Alligator mississippiensis: one gene and its partner. The main gene of each other region encodes a partner of the protein of the gene in region 2 in a complex. Links are inferred from orthologs where the notes say so. Each region holds a gene or a part of one and is shown on either strand. Other genes may lie near its edges.

Region 1 (7,752 bases), on a different chromosome or scaffold from region 2:
CACAATCTTGCCTCTCCCCCTTCCTCTTACAGTCCCATCATGAGACATGCCAACTCAAGTGTTTAATTAAGATACATTCTGGGCCACATCTTTAACTTGTGTAAACTGGCAGAGCTTGAGTAAAGTCAGTGGAGTGATGCCAATTTATACCAGGTGAGGATCTGGTCCCATTATTCTTTTTTCTAATTATGCCCCTAATTACTGCACAGTTCAGACTACACATGGACTTACCCCACTGGATATAGTCAAATGGCTACTGCTTAAAAGTAAACCATATGAATTGGAAAATGTATCTAAAGGAAAAATGTTACCTAGGAGTTGCAGCCCTGCTGCTGTCGGCAGACTCTCTTCCAGTAACACACATCCCAGGAGGCCTGTATGTTTGTGGTGGAGCTAGAAACTGAGGCTTGCTGGTTTCACTCATCCCTCTGGTTCCCTTAGCACATGAGATAATATCTTTACTTGCATCTGTGGTTGGGAGAGAGCTGCTCTTGTCATAGGTTTCAGGGAATGGTTCCAAAACTAACGATATCTAAGAGAGACAATATAAAGAAATGCATGTGTTTTATTTCTGTGTGTTTTTTATACTCTACAGCATATTGTTGTTTCACTCCTAAATGTTATGTATTCTACAGTTATGCAGGGCACCAGCCTAAACTCTGAAATATTTGTTTGTTATTTCACATCACACAAAGCTAAGGAATCACTTTCTCCAGAGAAACAGTGCCAGGGTGGTAAAAAAAAGAAAATAAAAAGGATGTTTAAGTTTAAATATGGATTTGAAATCTAGTTTGAGGCCTTTAAAAAAACATAAAATATTCACAACAGTCAGTTTGCTAGCATGCCATGAATACCACTTCTCATGCTGACTGACACTGTTTCAGTGTGTGTGCATTTTCCCCTGTCCTTACCCATCAGTTACCTCCTGTCTTAGACTGTAGGGCAGTGATTCTCAACCAGGGTGCCAGGACACCGTGGGGTGCTACCAGATCTTTTGAAAGTTGTGAAGTGTGAGGTAATACGTGAGGTGTTAGGAGATAAGCAGATAAACTAAGCAAGTGCAGGCTCAGGCTTGTCCCTGCTTGAACAATTCCCATATTCTCACTCCCAGGCCCCTCCTTCTAGGAAGCAAGCACCATAATCTGCAAAATAGTTTTCAAATTGGGTGGCACTGTATTCACAAAAGTTATGGAGGGGCACCTTGAGTCTAATGAGGGGTGCAGCAAGCTCAAAAATGGTGAGAACCACTGCTGTAGGCTGAGACATGAACCATTCCTTTGCTTTTTATTCTGTAGCCCCTTGCATAGTGGTGTCTAGCCCCTGACTTGGGCTCCAAGTTGCTATAGGAATACAAACTATAAGTCGGAGGAAAGATTTCAGTACTACCTGCACTTCTCCTAGTTTCTCAGACGTTGGTGAAACAATGGTGAAAAATCCACTGATTGGATTGCTTGGAGAGAGCTGTGACAATCCATTAATTTGAACTTTGCCGATAGGAAGATGGTCAGGTTTGGTGATTACCTCTAGTACGAGAGCACCCATATCTACAGGAGACAGAACAGCTAATTTAGGTTTGGTATAATGCATTTTTAAGCATCTAAAAAGGGTTTATGCAAGTAACAACAGTTTGCTGCTAAAAGGCGATTAAAATTGAAAAACTAAAACAAGAAAATGAAATGCCAAGACAACAAAATAAGGTATCATTAAAATAAGATAGGAGGATGATCATATGTGCCATATATTCTCAGGTACAGGATACACTTTTTCCTCAAAAAACAGCTACTGGAAACTGGAGTGCACATTATGCAAGATAAATACTCTCAGGGTAGGTGCTGCCGCTTACTGGCAAAGTCGGCTGCAAGCAGAGCACCCTAATGGGGCAGCACGAAGGAGTTCGTATAGCTGGTGCCCATGCAGGACCTTGTTCTCTCCCTGGCTGCTGCTACTCAGTTACATACTACAAGAACAGATTTTTCTTCCTTCAGTCTGCCTCTCATAAACAAGGAGCGTGCTGTACTCCAGCGCATGTTGTATGTGAGAAAATACAACAGTAGGTAAAAAAAGTATTGTACTGTTAAGAGACAAGTATTGGACAATGAAAGATAATCGGTCCCATCTCATGGACTACTACTTACAATACACACACATGCACTTAAATAGGCTGCTTTGAAGCCCAATCCTGCAGTAAAGTCCATGTCAGTACACGATTCCCCTGAACACAACTCACTAAAGGATTAGAGCCTGAGAAAAAATGTGAAGTGACAGCTGACAGGATCTATCGTTACACTACTTCAGCTACAAAACCACACAATCTTTACTATGACATAAATGTGGTTATAAGTAACAGATCTAGAGTCTGATCCTCAAATACAACTGGAGGGCTGTTGATGCTTGGCAAGGTCATTCAGCACCTCCCAAAACTAAGCCTCAGCCCAGGTTAAATAATACAGCCCTAAAGTCTGATTCTAGTGATTCCACTAAGAGCTGCAGGCATGCTGTCCTTCTCAGGAACAGCCTCTCATCCTTGCCTCCCAAGTGATTTTGGCAGGAGGACTCAGCAGCATGCAATAGTGCATATATATTGCAGTATTGCAATACTACAATAGTGTTTTGCATGTCAAGGCCTCTGAAAGGTGGGGGGCAGGCATAAAGTGTCCTTGGAAACAAGGGGTGCTTCGTATAAGCCTCTTTCCGTTTCATGAAGCCAAGAAGAAGTAACAAGCTGGCTAGTAAACTCCGCGCTTTCTGACACTAGCTCAAGCTTACGGCATTAAGGCTGCAAGATGCAGATGAACACGTGCAAGAGGGTTTGTAAAAGCTTGTGCTATGTATGTGTATGTGTGTAGCACAAGCTCTCACAAACCCTCTTGAACAATGTGCGCACATGCATACACACACACACGGGCAGATCTAGGATTTTCACAAGGGGGGTGCACAAGGTGTGGCGCTTCATCCCACATAACATGTTTTTCTTGAAAAGAAACTAGAAGCTGCACTAATACATCAGGGGGCTCACACTACTTTATTCAGTGTGTGCGTGTAGCACAAGGTTTCATGAACCCTCTTGCATGTGTGCGTGCATACATGCACGTACATGCACATGTGTGGATCTAGGAGTCTCACAAGGGGGGTGCACAGGGCGTGGCACTTCATCCCATATAACAACACGTTTTTCTTGAAAAGAAACTAGAAGCCGCGCTAATACGGCAGGGGGCTCGCGCTATATTTATTCAGTTAAAGATCGAAGCAGAAAACAACAACAAGTCCTGGAACGTGCACCACTTGCTTGAGTACACATGAAGTTTTAAAAAATAAAAATGCAACAAACTAAACTAGGCAAACACCAGTCAAAGGATAGTGTATGGTTAGTCCTGCAGTCGCTGTAGTTAAATGTCCATCTCCTATTCACACGGGTGCAGGTTGTAGCCGTGTTGGTCTAAGGACACAGGCAGACACGGTTCTTTGGGTGAATCTGATCTCTTTTATTAGACCAACTGACCACGGTTTTTGAACCCAAAAGCTTGCTTAAAAACCGTTCTCCAACGATTTGTCAGTCTAATAAAAGATATCAGATTTTATACGAATAGGAGACGTCTGCCCGTCTCCTATCCAGAGTCGCAAAACCGAATCCAGCTGCCTCGAGCGCCGTGACGGCGCCTACGAGACGCCCCTCGTTAGTCGGACCACACCCTCGTTAGTGGGACCACGCCTGACTGAAGGTTTCTAGCTACAGCTAAACCCGGTCGGCCGGGCTGCGAAACGGAAGAGAGACGAGACCGGGGATTTTGCAAAGGGATGAAACCTCAAGGCCGTTAAAAAGCACAGAGAGGCGTTAACACCGACCGCGCAGCGGAGAGAACAGCAGGAATCGGGGAAGCGACAATGAGGCGCGACGTCGAGGACCCCTCCTTCCACACCCACCTGCACCCTCATACGCACGCTCGGACACACGCGTGCACACATCACCTGTACACGCATACCCTTAACTCATGAAGCGAGCCCCCCCCGCACCGATACACGCATATCCACACACACGTATGCATATTCACATGCATGTATACACATGTAGACACACACATGTGCGTGTGCCCATGCCCACACCTGCGAGGTAGGCGGCGAGCTGCGCGGGCCCGCAGCGCACGGGGAAGCGGGCCTGGCTGCGGCCGGGCCCGGCGCGGAAGAAGGTCCCGGCCGAGGCGTCGCCCCACCAGCGCAGGCAGAGCGCGGCAGCGATGGCGGGGGGTGCGGGCCCGGCCCACACGACGCGGCCTACTGTGACGGCGAGGAGGCCGCGCGGCGGCCCGGCCACGAGCGGCGGGAGGCTGGTGGCGGCGGGCACGGGCCGCGGCGCGGGGGGGGCGCGGGCCCGGCGCGGGGGCACCCCCTTGGCCCGCTCCCGCCTCATCGCCTCGCCGCTGCCCGGCAACCGCCGCCGCCGCCGCCGCGGGGGCCGCCGGGAAGAAGCGCGGCGCGACTACAGCCCCCAACGGGCCGCGCGGCACCACGCCCTCTCCCTCCCGCTTCCGGCTGGGAGGGAGGGACTTCCGGCGCCACTACCACTGAGAACGCTCCCCCTTGAGGAAGGACTTCCGGAGGGTCACTTCCGGCTTCGAGTGCAGCGGGAAAGACACGGGAACTTCCGGTGAGGGTGGGGGAGCGGACTCCATTTCCCAAGGTGCCGCGCGGTGTGGAGGGGCACTTCCGGTGGTGGTGGTGGTGGGGGAGGTGGCTGCTCGCTCGTTCCCGCCCGCCCGCCCTGCCGTCATGTCGGCCCTGGAGAAGCAGCTGCACCTGGGTCGCCTTCCTCCGCGGCCGCCGATGCCCGGCGGGGGCGGCCAGTCCGGCTCCAAGATGCGCATGGGGTAGGAGGGGCAGGCCCTCAGGGCATGGGGTGCGGGGGCTCGGCCAGGTGGGGAGGGGACTGTCCCTGAGGGGATGTGGGGGAGGAGGTTGGGGGGGGCGGGGCTCCTGGAGGTGGGGGAGGGGAGGTCCTTGAGGGGATGGGGGAGGGGAGGAGGTTTGGGGGCTCTGGGAGGTGGGGGAGGGGAAGAGGTTTGGGGTGGAGGGCTCTGGAAGCTGTGGGTTGAGGAGGCTTCTGGAGGTGGGGGAGGGGCAGCCCCTGAGGGGATGGGGAAGGGGCTTGGGGGCTCCTGGAGGTGGGGAGGATCAGTTCCTGAGGGGGTTGGGGGGGGCTCCAGCGGGTGGGGGTTGGGGGGGGGGCTCTGGGAGGTGGGGGCGGGGTAGGCCCTGAGGGTTGTGGGAAGGCTTCCTGAGAGCCGTGGGGATGGCGGTGGATGTGCTGGGGGGGCTATGGGGGTGCTGACTAGTTGTGGGGGGTGTCACTGCCCAAGCAGGTGGTGGCAGAGGAGGGGAGGTCCTGTTGGGGGGAGCGGGGTGCCTGAGGTGGGGGATGGGTTGGCAGAAGAAGGGGTGGGGGGAGAGGGGTTGGGGTGGGGTCCCCCACCCTGATAAGTGAGGGGGAGGCAGGGGCAGCTGGTGCAAGGGGGTGGTGGGGGTGGGGTGGTAGTGCCTGTTGCAGAGTGGGACAGGAGGTGGCTGAGTGGTGAGGTGCAGGGCGAAGGGTTGGCACAGAGCAGGGCTGCTGGGGGCAGGGGAGGGCAGTGCCCAGCGCCAATCAGCAGCTGATGGGGGTGGGGAGGGGGGGGTTGCAAAAGAGGTTTCCCATGGGGGCGCATGGGATAGGAGAGGGGGTAGCAGAGGAGGTGGGGGTGCCCTGTGCAGAAGCGAGCAAGGATAGCAGAGGAGGCAGGGGGCAGAGGTGGTAGGGTGCCCGGGGCAGGGGGTAGCGGGGGACAGCAGAGGTGGTGGCGGGAATCCGTTGTGGCAGAGAGGGTGGTTGCCTCTGGAGGGTGATGCTCAAGTACTCATTTGAGGTGCTTTTCTGCAGAGCAGGTGGTTTTCTTGGCGGTGATGTCATGTGTGGAACTAATAATTTGCTGCTTCTGGCGTGTTGGAGGGCTCGAGAGTCAAACTGGGCTGTTGGCAAATGTCTGTGAGTGAGGAGCGTGTCTAGACCCTGCAGAAGAGAATTAGACAAGCTCTAAAGTTTGGACTCCTGTTCTCTTAATTGTGCTCTATTATCTTTAAATGGGAGGTTAGACCCAGCTGAAAAACCTAGTAGGTTTTACTGAAGCAATCGCAGTGTTTTTTTTCCTGTAACCCCATTGTCCAATTGATAACAAACCATTACAGTCTCTCAGCTCTCTGTTCTTGGGGACAAAGTTTGGCAAAGGCAGCTCTTTCAGGATATCTCTTAAACAAGTCTTTTCTCTGCATTTTGTTTTACTCCCTGTGGCTGAGGAAAGGTTGTTTCCGTTGTGTTGTGGTCATTCAAGATCCATGATAGTTGAGCTCAGTGAAGAGAACAGTTGGATATTATTTTCCTGTAGCAGAAGTCTACAGGAAACTCTCCAATGGGTGAGCTGTGCAAGTCCCTGCCCCTGGGAGAGGCCATTTGGCCCTCTGGGACTGTGCAGTGTAGTACCACATGAAGCAAACAGATGGTGAGCTTTATGAATGAGAGTACATGCATCTTCTGAAAGCAGAGTGGGAAGGGGACTGGTCAATGAGAATGTGACACTGTGTAGGACAGTGTGTGAAAGAAAGAAGTTCAAGGGACCCCGGGCATCTGTACACGAGTGCACAGGCTCTAGCAGCCTCCTGTGTCTCGTGTATCAATGTCTCTGCGCTTAAAAATGGTGATGAGGTTGCTTGAACTAAAGCTCCACAAATGAGCTTTAATTGAAGAGGCTGTCTGAGAGCATGTATTAAAAAGCTTGAGAGCATGCTTTAAAGTGCCCGCAGTGACTATGGAAAAGGGGAGCGAGGGGGCCTGATGGGCTGGATTTAAGGAGAGCTTTGAAGGGGTGAAGATAGATTTTGTTTATGGATGAAAATAAGGGATCCAAGTTAAGAACGGTATTATAGTGATAAGATGCTGTATGATACTGGCTCAATTATATGGATGGCTTGTAGAAAGAGATAATATGGGACAGGCTGGAAAATGTTGGCAGTAGGCTCAGGGAGGGACAGCATGTGGGGATTACATAAACATTAGAGCTGGAAGGGACCTTATGAGATCGTCGGGTCCAGCCCCCTGCCCAAGGGGCAGGAAGTCAACTGGGGTCAAATCACCCCAGCAAGATAAGCATCCAAGTGTTTCTTAAAGGTATCCAGAGTAGATGCGTGCTCCACTTCTGGGGGGAGTCTATTCCAGACTGGAGACTCGGACAGTAAAGAAGTTTTTCAGCAGTTTGAGACTGACTGTTAGACCTTGTCTTCCCTTGGGGTGCCCTAGTGAACAGACATTGTCCCAGTTCCTGGTGTACCCCCCCTTGGTAGCAGCCTATAAGTATACAAGTCACCCCTGAGCCTGCACTTCTCCAGGCTGAAGAGTCCCATGGCTCTCAGTCTTTCATCATAAGGCTGATTCTCCTGCCCTCTGATCACGCACATGGCTCTCCTGTGGACTCTCACAAGCTTCTCCACATCCTTTCTGAAGTGTGGAGCCCAGAACTGGATGCAGTACTCCAGCTGCGGCCTCACCAAGGCCAAGTACAGCAGGAGGATGACTTCTTGGGTCATGCTTGAGATGCCTCGGTAGATGCAAGCCAGAGTTTTATTTGCTTTGCCAGCTGCAGCATTGCATTGGTGGCTCATGTTCATCTTGTGGTCAGTCATGACCCCCGAAGTCTTTTTTGGTCATGGTGCTAGTGAGTGTAGCACTACCGA
Region 2 (7,168 bases):
GGTTTAAATTGTTTTTGCCTACTCTTCCTCTGAGGTCTCTGTCAAACCATGACTGCTTACTCACCCGTGAAAAAGAGCAAAGTTGCTGTGGTCTAGCTTCCTCTTATCGAGGGATAAGAACCAGTAACATCAGCAGTCTCCTGAGAACAACTGACAAGTAAATCCCTGCCCACTTTTAATTCACCATAACCTGATCATTTCTCCATATTCAGTGTGCACCAGCTCTTCAAAACTCTTGCTTCTACTGGCTTCTCTAAATATCATGATCTTTTATTTACCCTATACAAGCTCCCTTCTAAGGTAAATTATCCTAGAAGTCCAAATGTTGTTTTTTTTTTGTTTGTTTTTTACAATAAACTTTCCTTCTACAGTCTCTCCTGCCCAATGAACACCACTCCCTTTGCAACTGAAGGTTAATTTTCAACATATATTTCCTTCTATATCCAGACAGCCTGTTGATTCTACAGCAGGCAAAAAAAGTATTTTATGTTCTTACTGCTCAAGACAGTTCTCATCTTGGCACACAAGGTCATCAAAAATAGTTCCGTTTAAGTCAGCTTTCTTTCCCATGAACAGACAGAAGTATTACAGCAATGAGTACCTCATAAATATGTAAGAATTAAGGGCCGGATCAGAAAAGGTATTTAGGTATCTAAACAACCATGAATCCATGAGACTTCAAACTGCAAAAAATCAGGTTGTTTGACGCAGAGAGAGAACACCGATAATAATCGAGTTTCCTTTCTTAAGTATTCACCAATTGCATTCGTGTTGCCTACCCATCCACCAACCATGTTAAATTGTGACTGTGTTATTTAAAAACGTAGCGATCCCTGTAGCATGTATTCCCAAGCATGCTATAAAATGCGGGAGGCAACTCCCGCTTAACGCTGTAACACTCGTTTTACTTTGATACCCAACTCCACTCTTCAAGTTTTGTTATATTGCTCATGGGCATCACACAGCTGGCAGCAGGGAGAGTACACTAGCACCACAGCTCATCAGCAGCACAGTCTCGTTGTGCAAGTTAGCGCCAGTTGGCTTGTGTCACCATCTTGGTTCATCAAAAAACAAACCTGGTCTCGCTTAATGCTATATTCCTTTTAATGCTTGGTTTTTCAGGAACCAATTAAGAGCGCTAAATGGGGGTTTGTCTGTATTTTACTTGAACAAGTATTTGGGAATTTGTACTGGAAACAGGACTGTCCTTAAATGGTTCTTACCCACCCCTTGGAAAAGTACTTTAAGGAAGAGGTTGGTAAATCACAATCAAGCGTTTCACAAAAAAATAATCAAATCCTTTTTGGTATGAAACACTTGTTTGGGATATACCAAACTCTTCCTTAAAAATTCTATACCAAGCAGCACTTTTCCTACTTACAACATGACAATTTAGAGACTCATCACATACCATAATTTGAATAGAAGTACAGTACTGGAATATTTTATAATGGTAAAGTTTGACCATGCTACACTCATAAGCATTTGTCTGTGAAAGCACCTTTGTGTAACTTCATAGAGATTATCAAGGGCACTCTACAAAAAGAGATGGGTTCAATCAGCACACTACAGTAGTCACAGGCACAATGCCAAACCTGTCACTTCAGTGTTAGTGACAACCATAAGGGGGCACATCAGTGACATCTCCCAAATCTGTAATCAGCAGCTCTCCCAAGCACACGCCACAAAAGGTCTTTTTCTCCATGCTAAAATCGTATGAACATACTGAATATACAACACCCCTCTCTTTCGCTGTCACTGCTTTTCAGCTACAAGTCCTGAAGTAACTTGATTCAACACAAGACCTCCATTTGGGACACAAGGTCAACATGACGAGAGGAGCGTGCTCCACCTGCACAATAAATTGTTGCCCCTTAGGAACAGAAACGCAGCATCTCTTGCTGCTCTAAGTTAATCACTGGGAACAGAAACGCAGCATCTCTTGCTCCAAGTCAAATCATCGAGCCACACGCTTCCTCGGAAGAGATCGCTCTTTTCACTCGTGCAGGCACACAACGCGACACGACGGTGTCACCAGGCACCCCGAACAGACTGTGCGAAGAAAAGCTGAAATGAATTTGCTCCGACCTATACCTGTCGCTTTCCTTTTTTTTGTGCAAAAGTCTAGTTTACAGATTTCACAGTCATTAGGGCTGGAAGAGACTGTGGCAGATCAAGTCCGGCCCCCCGCTCCAGGGGCTGCAAGTCAGCCAGGGTCACAGGATCCCAGCAAGACCAATTGACTCGTAAAGGAGTCCCAAGTAGGTGCTCACATCGGTCTAAAACAAGGCAAATCACCTCTACCGGGAGTCCCGATTCCCTTTCGCCTCTAGACCAATACGGCCGCGATGCGACCCGACGCGTTCCTTTCGGGCATTAAACGCTTTAGAGACAGGGAAATTCGGAGGAAACAAAACGACGGCTTTAAAAACATTGTGAAAATTTACCGAAGCCGTTCACCCCCGTCTGTCCTGGCACTTGCCCGCGAGGCGGGCGAGTCGGCGTGGACGTCTCTGGCGAGGCAGGGAGCGGGTCGGGAGGAAGCCACGCGGTTTCGGCAACGGGGGCGAGCGCCGGAGCGGCCCGACCACCCCGGGGGTGGTGTCAGGGGCTGGAAGGGGCCTCGCCGCACTGGGGCGGGGAAGCCGGCTGCGACGCGGCGAGGCCGCCGACTCGCGCGGGGAGGGAGACGAGGCGAGCGGGAGGGAGGGAGGGAGGCGCCGCGACCCCGGTGCGGGGGGCGCCTGGGTGCGGTGCAGGCAGGGGGCGGCCCCGCGCTCCCCTCCGCGGCTCCCGGCGCCATTTTAGGAGTCGCGAGGAGGAGGAGGCCGAGGCTGAGGCCTAGGCCGCCGTCTGCCCCGCCCCGCTCCGGCCCGCGCGCCCCGCGCTCACCTTCTCACACAGGCTCTTCACCTGCCCCTCGGACAGCTGCTTGCACTCGTTGAGCTGCTCCACCCACTGGTCCAGCTCCTTGGTGAAGACCTTCTCCTCCATGACTCCCGCCTCCGCACCGGCTCGGCTGCACGCAGCGCTGGCGGCCGGAGCCCGCGGGACGCGCACACACGGCGGCTGGCGGCAGCGGCAGGCGGCTCGTCCGCTGCCCTCCGTGTAATGGCCGCCGCCCTGACGTCACCCTCGGAGGGGGCCCTCCGGAAAGGGGAGGGGACACGGCGCATGCGCCCCGGAGGGCCGCCCCGCGCCTGCGCACTTGGAGGCTTCGGGAGGGGGGAGCGGCTGGGAGGAGTCGTGCGTGTGTTGTGCTGTCGGTGCGGTGGCGCATGCGCCGTGGGGTTGCTTGGTGGGGGTGGGCAGCAGCGCGAGCCCTTGGAGGCCCTGCCCAGGTAGGCCGCCCCGCCCCGACCCCGCCGGGAGGAGCGAGGAGAGGTGTCGGATCCAGCTGTGTGGGGCAAGGGGGCTTGGTCTGGCGCCACATGGGAAGGGGCATGAACCTGCCCATCCAACTCCACGCTGCAGGGAGCCGGGCGGGGAGGGGAGGAGGCCCGGCCCAGCCACACCCAGGGAAGGGGGAGGGGAGGGAAGGGAAGGGGTCCAGACCTGCACGTGGCTGGGGGAGGGATCATAGCTTGACGCCTAACCCAGCAGTGCAGGGGGCATAGCCATGGCCTGGCTTCCACTTGCTCGGGATTTTGGCAGAGGGACGGGTGGCACTATTGACCCCCCCCCCGCTGCCAAATTTCCTGACCCCTTCTGCAGCCCCCCAGCTTGCGGGCAGGAGGTGGAGCGCTCCTCGTTGCTCCGGCGGTCCGTCCAGGGAGCCACCCCCGCGCTGCACTGAGAGCGTGAGCCAAAGCAGCGCAACTCCTCTCTAGGTGGCTGGCGATCGCTGTGCTGCCCCAGTGGCTCAGATTGCAGATCTTGGTCATCACGATTGCCCCGTAATTATTTCTTTTGAACTGAGCCAGGGATAAAGAGTAGATCTGAGCTCCAAATTATTGTTTGATGACCAGCCAGAAGAACAGCCCTCTGACTGACGACGCAATTGGTTCATGAAAAGCTGCGTCTTCAGTTGAAATATGGGGACTCGGAACCAGTTTTCTCATAGGGACAGTGTTACCCCGGACTGGGGCAGAGTGGGGCTATGGGAGGGCTGCGGCCACCCAAAAATTCACCGTAGCCCCCACTGCCTGCGTGGTGCAGCCCCGGCCCCACCTGTCCCACCCCACGCAGATCCAGGGACACACGCCCCCCCAGCATGGTCTCCTGGACTAGCAGCGGAAACCACTAGTCGAGCCGCCAGACAAGCGGTGCACAGTGGTGGGAGCCGCCATCCCCTCCTCCTGGTGCCCATCAGCCCTGGCTGGACAGTGTTTGCCCCAGCCCCGACCCCTCCCTCACTGTGGGGGACATTGATCTCCCCTCTCCCTCCCCTTCCACCACTTACCAGCTACACGCCGTATCGACCGTTGTAAAGATGAAACCAGCATTGAAATGGGGTGTCAATTTATAAACATCATAAACGACATTCATCGCAACTTGAAAAGTCCTAAGTTGGGGGCTGCCTGTAGTTCATGTTGGGTATCGGAATATCGGAACCCCTGAAACTTCTCTCCGGCATTTTGATTTTCTTGGAGGACCTAGCAGCCTATCAAATTAAAACTAGTGTTTCATCGGAAAAATATGTGGTATGAATTGATTAAGTAGATCAGACACTAGATAATTAAGAGTGTAATTCTGCACTTGGATTTCTTCCATAGGAGGCACAAAGACTGCATTCAGTATCTGGTATTCTGCTTCTAGAAGTGATTATCTGATGTTTGAGAGGAAGGTTAAATAATAAAAATAAATGCTTACTTTACAATGTTGCACACAGTGGTGGGGGTTGTTTGCACCCACCCAAAGGAGTGGTTAGGTTGTATCCTGAAATAGGAGATGACAATATTAATTCATAGCAATTAGCATGTGAATGGGAATCAGGCTTCCATATATCTTATGTGTAATTAAGGAGATCAATCTGCTCCAGTTGCCAGAATGAGTCAACAGAGTAGTCCTTCACCTTTGTACCCAGTCCTAATGCTTGAGTCAGTGACAAGTGTTTCATGTTGCTGGCATGCTTTAAAAAAAAGGTAAATCAAAGTTGATTACACTTCTATTAACATGAATAACTATTGAGTTGTTATTGGTCATGATTATTCAGCCCCTATTAAAAACCTTCTACAGTGCTAGCTAGCTCTCCAGTGTCCAGAAATGAATTCCATAAGATCATTGACCTTAGGTGTATTAGTGCTTGTAGTAAGATGTGTCATACTAGCCAAACTGCAAGCTCTTTCCTACTTCCTTTTTTATTTTATTTTTTCAAAATAAGGGAGATAGATATCTACAGCTATGAAGAATGGCAGAAACGTTTATATGCAGTTTATTGCAGACCGTTCCATTATAAGATTTCTTGCACTGCCTAAAATATCAGGTATTGGCTTTTTAATGGAGATTGGTTACTGAATTAGTTGGATCCCACTGTTCTGACCAAGTTAGGCAATCCCTGTGCTCGATAACAGGACCATTCCATATAGGAAGTTATTCATGAGATGTGTTTGTCCCCCTCATACTGATAAAGACATTTAAGATTTCCCTTCACTTGATCCTCCTGTACAAATATTCAGTCCTGGTTATTCAGCAGGATTCTTATACTTGTCCCTGATGAATCCTGGTTATTCACTAGTATAAGAATCTCAGTGTCCATTCAAGACTTAAGTGAGGCCAAGGGATGAACCCCATAATTAATGCCATTAAATCTTACCAGGAGCACACTGCTACTACATATGCAGCCTCGTGTGTCTTTGACTGCCTGATGACATTGTATCCCTAAGGCAGCCTCAAGTGGCTTTCTTGAGAGCTGTCATAGTGCAGATGATATTAGTCCCTGTGACACGTCATAGTTATACAAAGGGTAACATAGGTGATGAATTGTAAGAAGTATGAAGCTTTCAGTTTTCAAGGATGAGAGGCTACCCAGTGAGAAATCTTGTTTTGCCTGAACAAGAGAAAGCTAGCACTGGCAGCTATCATATTGCCAGCCTGAGAGAGAAAGCAAATGTGTGTATATTCTGGACCCCTCAAAGGCATTTCACTCTGCTGCACATTAAGTATTAACAACATATAGGATATCTTGCAATAGCCAGTGGGGATGCCTTGTGCTGAATCTATTCAGTCCTACTAAACTGAATCCAGAGAGATGTGAAGGGCATTTGTCACCAGTATCGTCCACTATCTCTTTTACTCGGAACGAGGTGATACTTCTTGGAGAGGTTGTGAGATTACGCAGATTCATATTCCACTAATATGATTACACCAACTGTATGTCTCCACTGAGGTACCTTACACTATTACTAAGATGTCTCGGTGTCTTTAAGAGATGAGCAGATGAGGGGGGTGACTCCACTTTAAGAAAGGATTAGTTTTCGTAAGTCTGATTCACTGTTGTCCTGCATAAAAATAAAACCAGTACATAGCAAGTGCAAAGTGCAAAATTCTGCATTCTGATTTGATGTTTTTTCATATTCACTTCAGACTGATGCCAATGACTTCACAAGGTGAAGGCAGTAGAGAGTTAGGCCCAATTAAATTATGTTTGTGTTAGGCTTAGACAACTAGTTTTAAAGCATTGGCTTTGCTCAGAGTCAAGGCTCCAGCAAGATGAATTGTTAGAAACAGTCCTATTTGGCAAATGATATTCATTATGCTAGACTTTTCCCTGTAATATTTACTTTAGTATTTTTATGTCACACAGATCAAGGGAGGTGTGTTGTTTTCTTTGAGATACTAGAACTAAATCTATGGTATGAAAATTAAACAAATGTAGCATTTGTTAGAAGTATAATCATGTGCTTCACTTAGGAGGAAAAGTATTTCCTTTATGTGACTTAGAGACTTTTCCCAACTCTAATAGAGTTGATGAATGTTTTCATTAGTGATATTGCAGAAGTGTTTAAGAGTATCACAGTAACTTGTACAGAAGTTGCTGTTGTGGTTATCAATAGCCACCAAGGCACAACAGACTTTGTAAACTCTCTGTTTCACCCCATAATTAGACCCTCAGTAGTAGGCAACTGTCAGTCCTTCGGGATCATGGTGTATGTGAGAGAGGTCACCTGGACTTTCAACTTGTATGCCTTGGCAAGAGCATGGAGGAGTGGAGGCTGCCCAGACCTTC

The links. The genes of interacting proteins can lie anywhere in the genome.
Region 1: the proteins of PPP2CA (region 2) and PPME1 are in contact, whole or in part, in a crystal structure (PDB 3C5W), measured with the Homo sapiens proteins. The link is inferred for Alligator mississippiensis from reciprocal best matches to the Homo sapiens genes PPP2CA and PPME1. Residues at the interface, in NP_002706.1 of Homo sapiens: His59, Arg89, Gln122, Val126, Tyr127, Asp202, Ile211, Ser212, Pro213, Arg214, Gly215, Ala216, Gly217, His241, Gln242, Leu243, Met245, Phe260, Tyr265, Cys266, Arg268, Cys269, Thr304, Pro305, Asp306, Tyr307, Phe308, Leu309; in NP_057231.1 of Homo sapiens: Gly84, Gly85, Met157, Asp181, Val182, Thr186, Ala187, Ala190, Ser193, Met194, Phe197, Leu198, Leu291, Trp298, Trp301, Phe302, Lys316, Val323, Asp324, Arg325, Leu326, Asp327, Lys328, Thr331, Ile332, Gln334, Met335, Gln336, Gly337, Lys338.

Annotation. Positions count from the first base shown.
Region 1 is NC_081824.1:466,851,966-466,859,717, reverse strand, and holds the start of PPME1 (protein phosphatase methylesterase 1), read left to right. Parts: upstream 1-4,732; 5' UTR 4,733-4,764; coding exon 4,765-4,862; intron 4,863-7,752. Other genes in the region: C2CD3 (C2 domain-containing protein 3), read right to left, coding at 312-532, 1,387-1,544, 4,102-4,405. UniProt on the Homo sapiens protein: Demethylates proteins that have been reversibly carboxymethylated. Demethylates PPP2CB (in vitro) and PPP2CA. Binding to PPP2CA displaces the manganese ion and inactivates the enzyme.
Region 2 is NC_081832.1:70,069,832-70,076,999, forward strand, and holds the start of PPP2CA (serine/threonine-protein phosphatase 2A catalytic subunit alpha isoform), read right to left. Parts: upstream 3,091-7,168; 5' UTR 2,995-3,090; coding exon 2,893-2,994; intron 1-2,892. UniProt on the Homo sapiens protein: Catalytic subunit of protein phosphatase 2A (PP2A), a serine/threonine phosphatase involved in the regulation of a wide variety of enzymes, signal transduction pathways, and cellular events.